2 linked regions of the Schizosaccharomyces pombe genome follow. Changing the gene in region 2 together with the main gene of any one other region gives a genetic interaction. Each region holds a gene or a part of one and is shown on either strand. Other genes may lie near its edges.

Region 1 (5,289 bases), 1.2 Mb from region 2:
AGATGCTCACAAAAGTGCGCCAATCCTAACAACTCTCGTGGATTGCTTTGACTGCCGATGTGAACGTCAATAGCTGCACTTGCATTATCTGTTTCCGGATCTCTCACTAGCAAAACCTCGAGGTCGTTTTCCAACTTAATAAGACGATACTCTCTATCATCCAAATTTGGAACAACTTGTCCATTAACTATCACTTCAACTTGCGGTTTCCCATCCATTTTTTATTTATGAAAGGAAAAGATAAAACAACCCAGAATTCTGACTACTGCTATTACACCCAAAAAAAGGGTAATATGTAAGAAATATGGCAATAGGTTGAATTATGTGTTTACATACACACAGTACGTAGGCATTACTGTTTAGAGGCCAATTTAACAAAATACACCGATGCACTAAATAATTTAATGTAATTAAAGCTATCCTACAAGTATAAAGTTTTGTAAACAAATAACTAATAAACACTTGAAAAGAAACATTATGAAAACGGTATTAATGAAATCTTACTATAATTAATTTAATTTAATTTAGATTATCACTAACGAGCAATTTTCCAGAAAATAATATCCCCGGGTTCGACAGTATAATCTTTCCCTTTCGTTTTGCACTTTCCTACGCTTTTACAAGCATCTACTGATTTGTACTTTTCGAAATCAGAAAACTTTATAACTTCTCCTGCAACGAACTTCTTCTTGAAATCTGAATGTATTATACCGGCCGCGTCAGGCGCCTTAGAGCCGTCGGCAATAGTCCAAGCTTGAACGATTTTTTCACTAGCTGTGAAATAATGTATCAAATTAAGTGCAGAATATCCCGCACAAATAATTTCTGATAATTGAGAATTTTTGCCCAAACTAGCGCATTCCTGCGCCGCCTCTTCAGGCGTAAGCATGAATAGCTGTTCTTCAAACAGAACTGAGAGAGGTATCACTTGATCACCAAAACTATTTTTCTCAACCCATTCTTTGATTCCTTTTAATGCTTCTTGTTCATCGGAAAGATAATCGTCTTGATCCATATTTACCAGATACACCACCGGTTTGGCAGTGAGTAAGTTTAAAGAATTTAAAATGGGAATCTGCTCGTCATTCCATTCAGCTTTAGATATTTGACGGCCTTTTCCTAATACTACTTCTAATGCTCTTCGTGCCGTATCAAGAGCTTTTGCACATGTTTTGGGCGAGCGGCCCTCCTTTTTTAAATATGATTCTAAAAACTCTGCGTCTTTTAACAATAGCTCTTCCTGTATTATTTGTAGATCTCTTACTGGATCAACTGACTTTTCAACATGAGGAACTTGAGCCTCTGGAAATGCACGTACCAATTGAAACAAAGCATCGACGGATCTAATGTTTGAAAGAAACGCATTTCCAAGACCTTCTCCCTTGCTTGAATTCCTTGTCAACCCTGCAGTATCATAAATAGTTAATTGCGCTGGGATACGCGTTTTAGGCTGATAAATTTCACAAAGCAATTCATACTGTGAATCAAGTACAGGGGCTTTTGCATGAACGGGATCGATTGTAGCGAAAGGGTCTTATAAATTTGTTTTGTTAGACAACAGAAATACAAAATATTATATCACTTATAATCAAAACTAATACTTGACTAAAATATGACAACGTACAGTTAGCAGGATTTCCCAGGTTTGTCTTTGTAAGAATTTGACTATATTTATTGTTAATACCGATCAATGAAGCAAATTTATCAGTTAAACCCTTGAACAAACGTACAATAAGGTGGATTTCCCAATGTTGGGCATTCCTACAATGCCAATTTTCAAATGATTTCCAGGTCGTCCCAATCGTTGCCGAACAATAGAAATATCCTTTTGTTTTGAATAGTATCTCCTAGTACAATTTACAGAAGGTAGACACTTTTGCGTTGACAACACTATCCTTGTAACTATACCACGCATTTCTTAACCATTCGATGAATTAATCACAGAGTTGTTGCTAAGCTTTTTCACGCAGTAACCAAAACATTAATTGTTAATTCCTCCTTGAAATTTTTATACGATCAATAGCAGGATTTGTAAAATGGAGATACAGTTTGGAAATCAGAGGTGTAGGATGGTAAATTCTGGGGGTTTTCTAGCTACTGATGGTTCCCATCTGAAGGAAATGGAAACAGATGATGTTCTTGTTGAATTCTTAAATATAGAACATCAACTTTTTATTCGAAATATTCGAGCTATAGTTAAAATAGCCGATACAACGGTGCTTCCATCTGCTAGCGACAAAAAGCTTCTTTATTATGTTTTTGACGAAACGGTATTATCTTTTTTCTATTGATTAATTGAGTAAGCTAATTATATACTTTTTTAGAGAGTAAGAATCAACGATACTCCTGTAATTTTTTCAAAATTAGAGGAGGATAATGCAAACGTGAATGAAGGATCCAAAATGGGAGTTATGACTGTATGTGCATTCCCTCATTATACTATTGTCAAAAAGACACTAACCTATTTTCCAAGGTCCCTAATACCCCGCAGAAGCCAAATTTGCAGCAACAAAAATTTGAAGCGATCAATGCGAATGAAGATCAAATTGATTATTCAAGTAACTTGGAACAAAATTACAATTCTTTAATTAGGCAAGGATCTGACCAGGTCATTCCCCTTTCGCGATTCGCTTCAGAAAAAAGTGCTTTAGAATTGGAAAAGGAACTCTTTTCTGAGAGAATTCCAGAATCGCAATCTGCCGCTGAGCCTGTTCTTAAAGTTGAAAACTCTGAGAATGATTTGGACGAAAAATTGGTATTGGACGGTCAACATGTGGAAGGCGACCATAGTTCTGACACTGAAGAGGAGGTTGTTTCTGAAGATCAAAAACAGTTGAATAAGACCGACGATGAGTCAACATTTATTGAATCACACCAAATTTATATACAAGGAGAAACAAAATCTCCTTCTTCTGTCTCGCAATCATTGAGTGGAGACCCATCCTTGAAGCCAGCAGAGGTATTTGATAGAAAGCAAAGTGCTGAAATAAACTCACCAATTGAGAAGGATGTGAATCCACAGCAAAACATATCGGACAGCTCTATAAAGAACAATAGCATTCACAGTGATGAAGTAAATCCAGAGGTTAGGCCAGATTTAACCCCCTCCAACGAAAATGAAGAAAGTAAAAGAAGTGCGCCGGAAATCGCTCTCAAAGAGAAGGAATCCACATCCCAGGATGAAAGTAACAGAGAAGCAGAAGAGGCACCAATTTCCACTAATTATTCTTTCCCCTCATCATCTTTAGAGGATCAACCTGACAAGAATGTGCAGTCCTCGGCAGTTGAAAATAAAAACAAGCACACAAATCTGGTAACGTCGAGTTTCAACCTAACTAAACCGATGAAAAGTTTTATAAGGAGAAATGGTCTAAGGGTGCAAGAAAGTGTCACAGACGAAACCGACTTTGTCATCCTTGGTTCACCTCCACTTCGGAGGACACATAAGTTTTTACTGGCGACTTCTCTAGGTATACCACTTGTCTCTTCTCAATACTTGACAGACTGTATAAAATCAGGTAAAGTTTTAGATTTTCGTAGCTACAAATATAAAGACGAGGAAGCAGAAGCCAAGTGGGGATTTCGTTTGGACGATATCCACAGAAGAACGTGTTTCAATGGGAAAAGACTATACATTACAAAGGCAATTCGAGATTCGATGGTAGGGGATTCTATACACGGACTTTACTCAATTTTGGAAACATCTGGAGCTGAGGTAAGTGAAAGATGGAGAATATCTAGTTATGATAGGCTAATGATTTAAATAGATTGTTGGTGATATTAAAAGGGCTCAAGAGAAGGACACAATTATACTTGCTCAACCTGACAACGATCAAGAAGGACGGAATATGAGTGCTACTGGTTTAAATGTGTACAAGATTGAACTAGTAGCTTTATCCATCTTGCGTGATCGAATTGATTTTGATGAATTTTTGATTGACTATGATGCTGACAGTCCCACCAAAGTAATTGGAAAAAGAAATGTCTCAAAGGCATCCCGAACCGGGCAAGGAAGAAAACGATCCTCTCGTTCATCTTGGAACAAACCAAGTGCAAAGGAGCAAAGAACATAAAATTAAAGGTAAAGAGGACATCGTTTACTTTGTCTATTATTTATTTATAGAAGTATATTTGCAAACATATATTCTTGAGTTTCTTCTATGAAGGAGGACCATTAGAAATTATACAAAAATAGAATTTTAATAATGATATTAAATAAACGAGCGTATTTAAGGGCGAAGGATAAAAAACCTACACGGTTATTTAATGAAATATGCGATCTGTTAGTTGATTGTTAAAATCTTGAACCAATAAATTCAAGATACTCAACATAAATGAATCGATTTCAATACGCTTTTTTTTCTATTTTCCAGATAATGTATGAAAAAAAATAGTTTGACCAATTCCCGAAATTTATAATTATTACATCTCAATTAAAAAAACAAATAAAGAAATAAATAAAATGATATGAAATGAAGTACAAAAGGTTAATAAAAATAAATAACAAATTTCTACACGATTAAAAGATATAAAAGGTAAAAATCTTTATGAGTAGAAAAACGCATATACTTATTTGCGGTTTTAAGAGGAAGTAAAAGGAGGTAATTCCGAAACATAAAAATAAAGGGGCCTCATTATAGTGCTTCTTTTTAGTCTTGCAATTTTATTTTATTTTTTGAAAAGGTTTAGTTGTTTGTTTATTGACTACAAAACACAGCAAATCCACTCGTCATATCAGATCAAGCATACCGCATATCTAACAAATGATTCTGCAATGCATTGCACTTCACTGTATAAAATTTATTCATAAAATGCGCAATATGTATATCAGGCACTTATAGGTTTACCCAAATATGCTGTTAAATGGAATACACAGTTTTTTGCGCCATCTTACCATTTATAAAGCGTGAATTTAGAGACCCGCACATGCTTCCGCACACGGCCAAATGAGCGCTAAACCTCGGACGAGAAAGTGACCTGTGTGCTGTTTCTATTTATCGCATCGCTACGATGACATCATAGTGTGGTGAAAGCACCAGCTGTTATAAGCAGACCAACGAACCAACTCACTGTTCAACAATATTAATCAAGTTCTATTTCTTATACAAGCAATTTGGAAAATAAATCAAGTGTTAAATACATTCTTTGCTTGAGTGTATTTTATATTTTTTAGTGTTCTGTCCTTGCAATCGAAAAAAGCGCATTGACAGGTTTCGAAGCGAACAAGGAAATATCGGTTTTACTCTTGAAACAGAAATTTAACTGTATGTGAAAATTTTTTTTGGAGTT
Region 2 (3,545 bases):
GTCTCGCTGCAACTGTCGCTCGTCAAGCTGCTAATTCTGGTGTACGTTTTACTGCCTATAATAGTATCAAGCAATCCCTTCAAAGCAGATTACCACCAGATGAGAAGTTGAGTACCGTTACCACTTTCTTAGTCGGTTCTGTAGCTGGTATTATTACCGTTTATTGTACGCAACCCATCGATACTGTCAAGAGTCGTATGCAATCTTTGAGTGCTAGTAAGGAATACAAAAACAGTATTCATTGCGCTTATAAGATTTTAACTCAAGATGGTCTGTTGCGTTTCTGGTCTGGTGCTACTCCCCGTTTGGCTCGTTTGATTCTCAGTGGTGGTATTGTATTCACTGTTTACGAAAAAGTTATGGAAATTCTCAAGCCTTTTTAAATATCCTCGTAAGCAGTGGAATATGGATTTATCCTTGGTTATATATAATTATTGCTTCATTAAAGCAATCACTTCACTGGTTTTGTTCTTTTTTCACATTATCTTCTTTTTATTATTTTATTCTTTCTTTGGTGCTTTATAGATAGTTAGATTATTAAAAATATAACCCCCTAGAGTTTTGAAATGTTTTGTGCTTTGGAAGTATTCATGTTTTGCATGTTTTGAATTGCAACTTCCTAAATGCCCCTGTTACTACTACCATAATTAAATTATACCAATAATAAATCACCAAACTCATTCAAATCCATATATCTGGGTTGATGTTTAGGCACCTAGACAATACGCAGTGTAATTACATGCTACAAGCACCTCAAAAAGTTTAGCGAATATTGAACCAATAGTTCTTTCATTAAAATAAACCTATAATAAACAAATTATGCCTATACAAAGGAAGCTGAAAAAGGAAATGTATAATAAAGGGAAGAGGAAAACACGGAAAGTTCATCAAACGAGAAAAGAAAGCGTCAATCAACCATCAGGAAACCTAACAATCATTCAAACTCGAATAATGTACTGTACAAACAACTAAGCTTGAAACAGAGTATGTAACCAAATAAAAACGTAAGAATTATGAGTCATATGAAAAAGTTTCTCAACCGAATAATGCACTTGTTTCTGTATCACTGATATAATGATAAAACTAAATTTCTGATAGAGAAATTGCGTAAAAAAAGGTGTGAACGAATTAAGTCACGAAACCAACAGTTCAAGCAATTAGTGTGGTATAATAATAGTTAAGTATAAACGACAAATAATCTTAATATACAATTTATCATTCATTTAAGAGTTTAAAGCTCTTGGCTAGGCTTGCCCTTACCAGATTGTTTGGGCAAGAGATGAGCGTTGATATTAGGTACAACACCACCCTGGGCAATAGTAACATGACCAAGTAGTTTGTTCAATTCTTCGTCATTGCGAATAGCCAATTGAAGATGACGGGGAATGATACGAGTCTTCTTGTTATCACGAGCAGCATTACCGGCCAATTCGAGGATTTCGGCAGCTAAATACTCCAAGACGGCAGCCAAGTAAACGGGAGCACCAGCACCAACACGTTGAGCATAATTACCCTTACGCAACAAACGATGAACACGACCGACAGGGAAGGCCAAACCAGCCTTAGCGGAACGAGATTGAGCAGACTTGGCGACTGCGGCCTTACCACCAGATTTACCTCCAGACATGCTTGATAAAGAAATTACTTAAGTTTTAAATTGGAATAATGTATGCAGGATTGCTCAATTGCCCAATATTTAGAGAAGAAGAAGATGATGCAGCGACAAGCTCTTTTATATACAGCAATATACAGGGTTAGGGTTTTGATGGATGTTTATGGGCATTCATCACTGAATGATAGCAGACTCGTTTCAGTGATATTATACTCAGCATTTGGAACGCACAACGAATTTCGTTAAGTATATTTAGGGAATATATAAAAGACACAGTAACTATGATTAGAACGATTGTATACTACCTTATAATATATGATCCTGCAAATTCGTCGAATGTATTTAGTTAGACATAATTAAAATTCAATCAATATATGTACATATTTATGATTTTATTAAACTAAGTATACTCTTAATTTTACGGAAAAAGAAAAGTCTGCTACTAAATATCGACCATCGTAGTTTAAACTAAATATAACAGGACGTGCAAAAGTACAAAAAGCTTTGTTTTAAAAGAACTTTCTGAGAAAAGGTAAAACACATCAATTCCAGAGCAAAGTTTAGTAGAGAGCGACGTTTAAGCAGTTTTGGCATTAGGGAATTTGAAGTAGTAATCCGTTTCCGGTAAAATGGATGCCTTTATTGTACGCCCTCCGAACCAACGTTGATGGAGTCCAGTGATTGCCTTTTCAGCAAAATCGGCATTTTCAAATTTTACAAATATCTGCCCCAATTCATTCGGTACAACAGCAATGTGAACTACTTTGCCGTACTTTTCATCACACTCTTCTTTGACGTCCTGCTCCAATTCTTGCACCCAATTAGGTGATGTTTCCCTTTAAAGGTTAGTCAATTATGAATCATAAAAAAAACGTACTCAGCAGGATTAAACATGTTTTCTAATAATGCACATCTACTACGAATTGGAGGCTCTGGTTCAGATACCAGTTTACTGCTTTATGTTAGAAGACAAAAAGGATCCAAGTTAAAACAAGACATACCTGTTGTCTGAAATGTCTTCAGAGCGTGCTAACTTTTTCATTAGCTCATCTCTTGTAATGGGACGGCTTTCTTCTTCAGTAGGAGATAAAGGAGCTGCTTCTCGATAGTCTTGTGATTCGTAGGTTGATGAACCGCCATTACGTTGAGAAGGTTGACTACGTTCTTGGCGAGCCAACGTTTCGTCAAAGCGCTTCAGCATGGAACTAGTTGTTTCTGTAGTAAATTTATCATTGCCCAAACAAACCCTCATATTTCTTCCGGCTAAATCAAAGCCATTCATTTTCTCCAAAGCATTTCTCGCACTTATAGGATTTCGATATCTAAAAAATATAATGTTAGTGTCGTTGAAGTTAAATAGATATAAATATCAATCTAATTTTTTGAAAACATACTGTATATAACCAAAACCCTTGCTTCGGTTTTGATCATCACGCTGAAGGTGTACAAATTCTATGTCGCCAAAAGGTTCGAAAATTGCCTTAACATCTTCATCAGTAAGGTTGAAGTGAATGTTTGAGACACACAATCTGTGAAATGGAATTTCAGCGCTAGCGGCTCGTGCCAATCTACAAATAAGTTAGACAAAAATAATGGATGCTTAGTAAAAACTTACTCAGCAGCTTCACGAGCTTTTCTATTTTTTTCAGCCTCTGTAAGTTGTACAATGACAGGAAGACCCAACAATCGCTTACCAGAAAGCGCAATAGCCGCCTGTACAGAATCCTCGTGACAGAACTCCACATATGCAACACTATATTATATTCGTTAGCAAACGAACCCAATTTGAAAAATAAAAAAAAACAGAATAATATCTATTTAAAAAAAAAAAAAAAATTATAAGACATACCCTTTCGATCGTCCGCTAATCTTGTCTCGAACAATTTGAGCATCGCGAACAGGACCAGCTTGTTCGAAAAAATCATATAATTCC

What was found.
Region 1: of hta2 (region 2) and mdb1, a mutation in one rescues a mutant of the other (synthetic rescue), as found in Schizosaccharomyces pombe (one study listed by BioGRID).

The regions. Positions count from the first base shown.
Region 1 is NC_003424.3:2,881,968-2,887,256, reverse strand, and holds mdb1 (BRCT domain protein Mdb1), read left to right. Parts: upstream 1-1,915; 5' UTR 1,916-2,036; coding exon 2,037-2,270; exon of another isoform or gene 2,271-2,324; coding exon 2,325-2,417; exon of another isoform or gene 2,418-2,473; coding exon 2,474-3,715; intron 3,716-3,767; coding exon 3,768-4,073; 3' UTR 4,074-4,464; downstream 4,465-5,289. Other genes in the region: iph1 (metallopeptidase), read right to left, coding at 1-218; SPOM_SPACUNK4.13C (NTPase Ylf2), read right to left, coding at 536-1,533, 1,625-1,665, 1,731-1,915. UniProt on the Schizosaccharomyces pombe protein: Involved in DNA damage response (DDR) mediated through its interaction with phosphorylated H2A proteins hta1 and hta2 which mark the discrete foci of DNA damage.
Region 2 is NC_003424.3:4,051,621-4,055,165, forward strand, and holds hta2 (histone H2A beta), read right to left. Parts: upstream 1,699-3,545; 5' UTR 1,628-1,698; coding exon 1,232-1,627; 3' UTR 826-1,231; downstream 1-825. Other genes in the region: mce1 (citrate transporter), read left to right, coding at 1-383; RNA-binding protein Rsd1, read right to left, coding at 2,190-2,448, 2,490-2,564, 2,614-2,934, 3,007-3,180, 3,228-3,365, 3,462-3,545. UniProt on the Schizosaccharomyces pombe protein: Core component of nucleosome which plays a central role in DNA double strand break (DSB) repair. Nucleosomes wrap and compact DNA into chromatin, limiting DNA accessibility to the cellular machineries which require DNA as a template.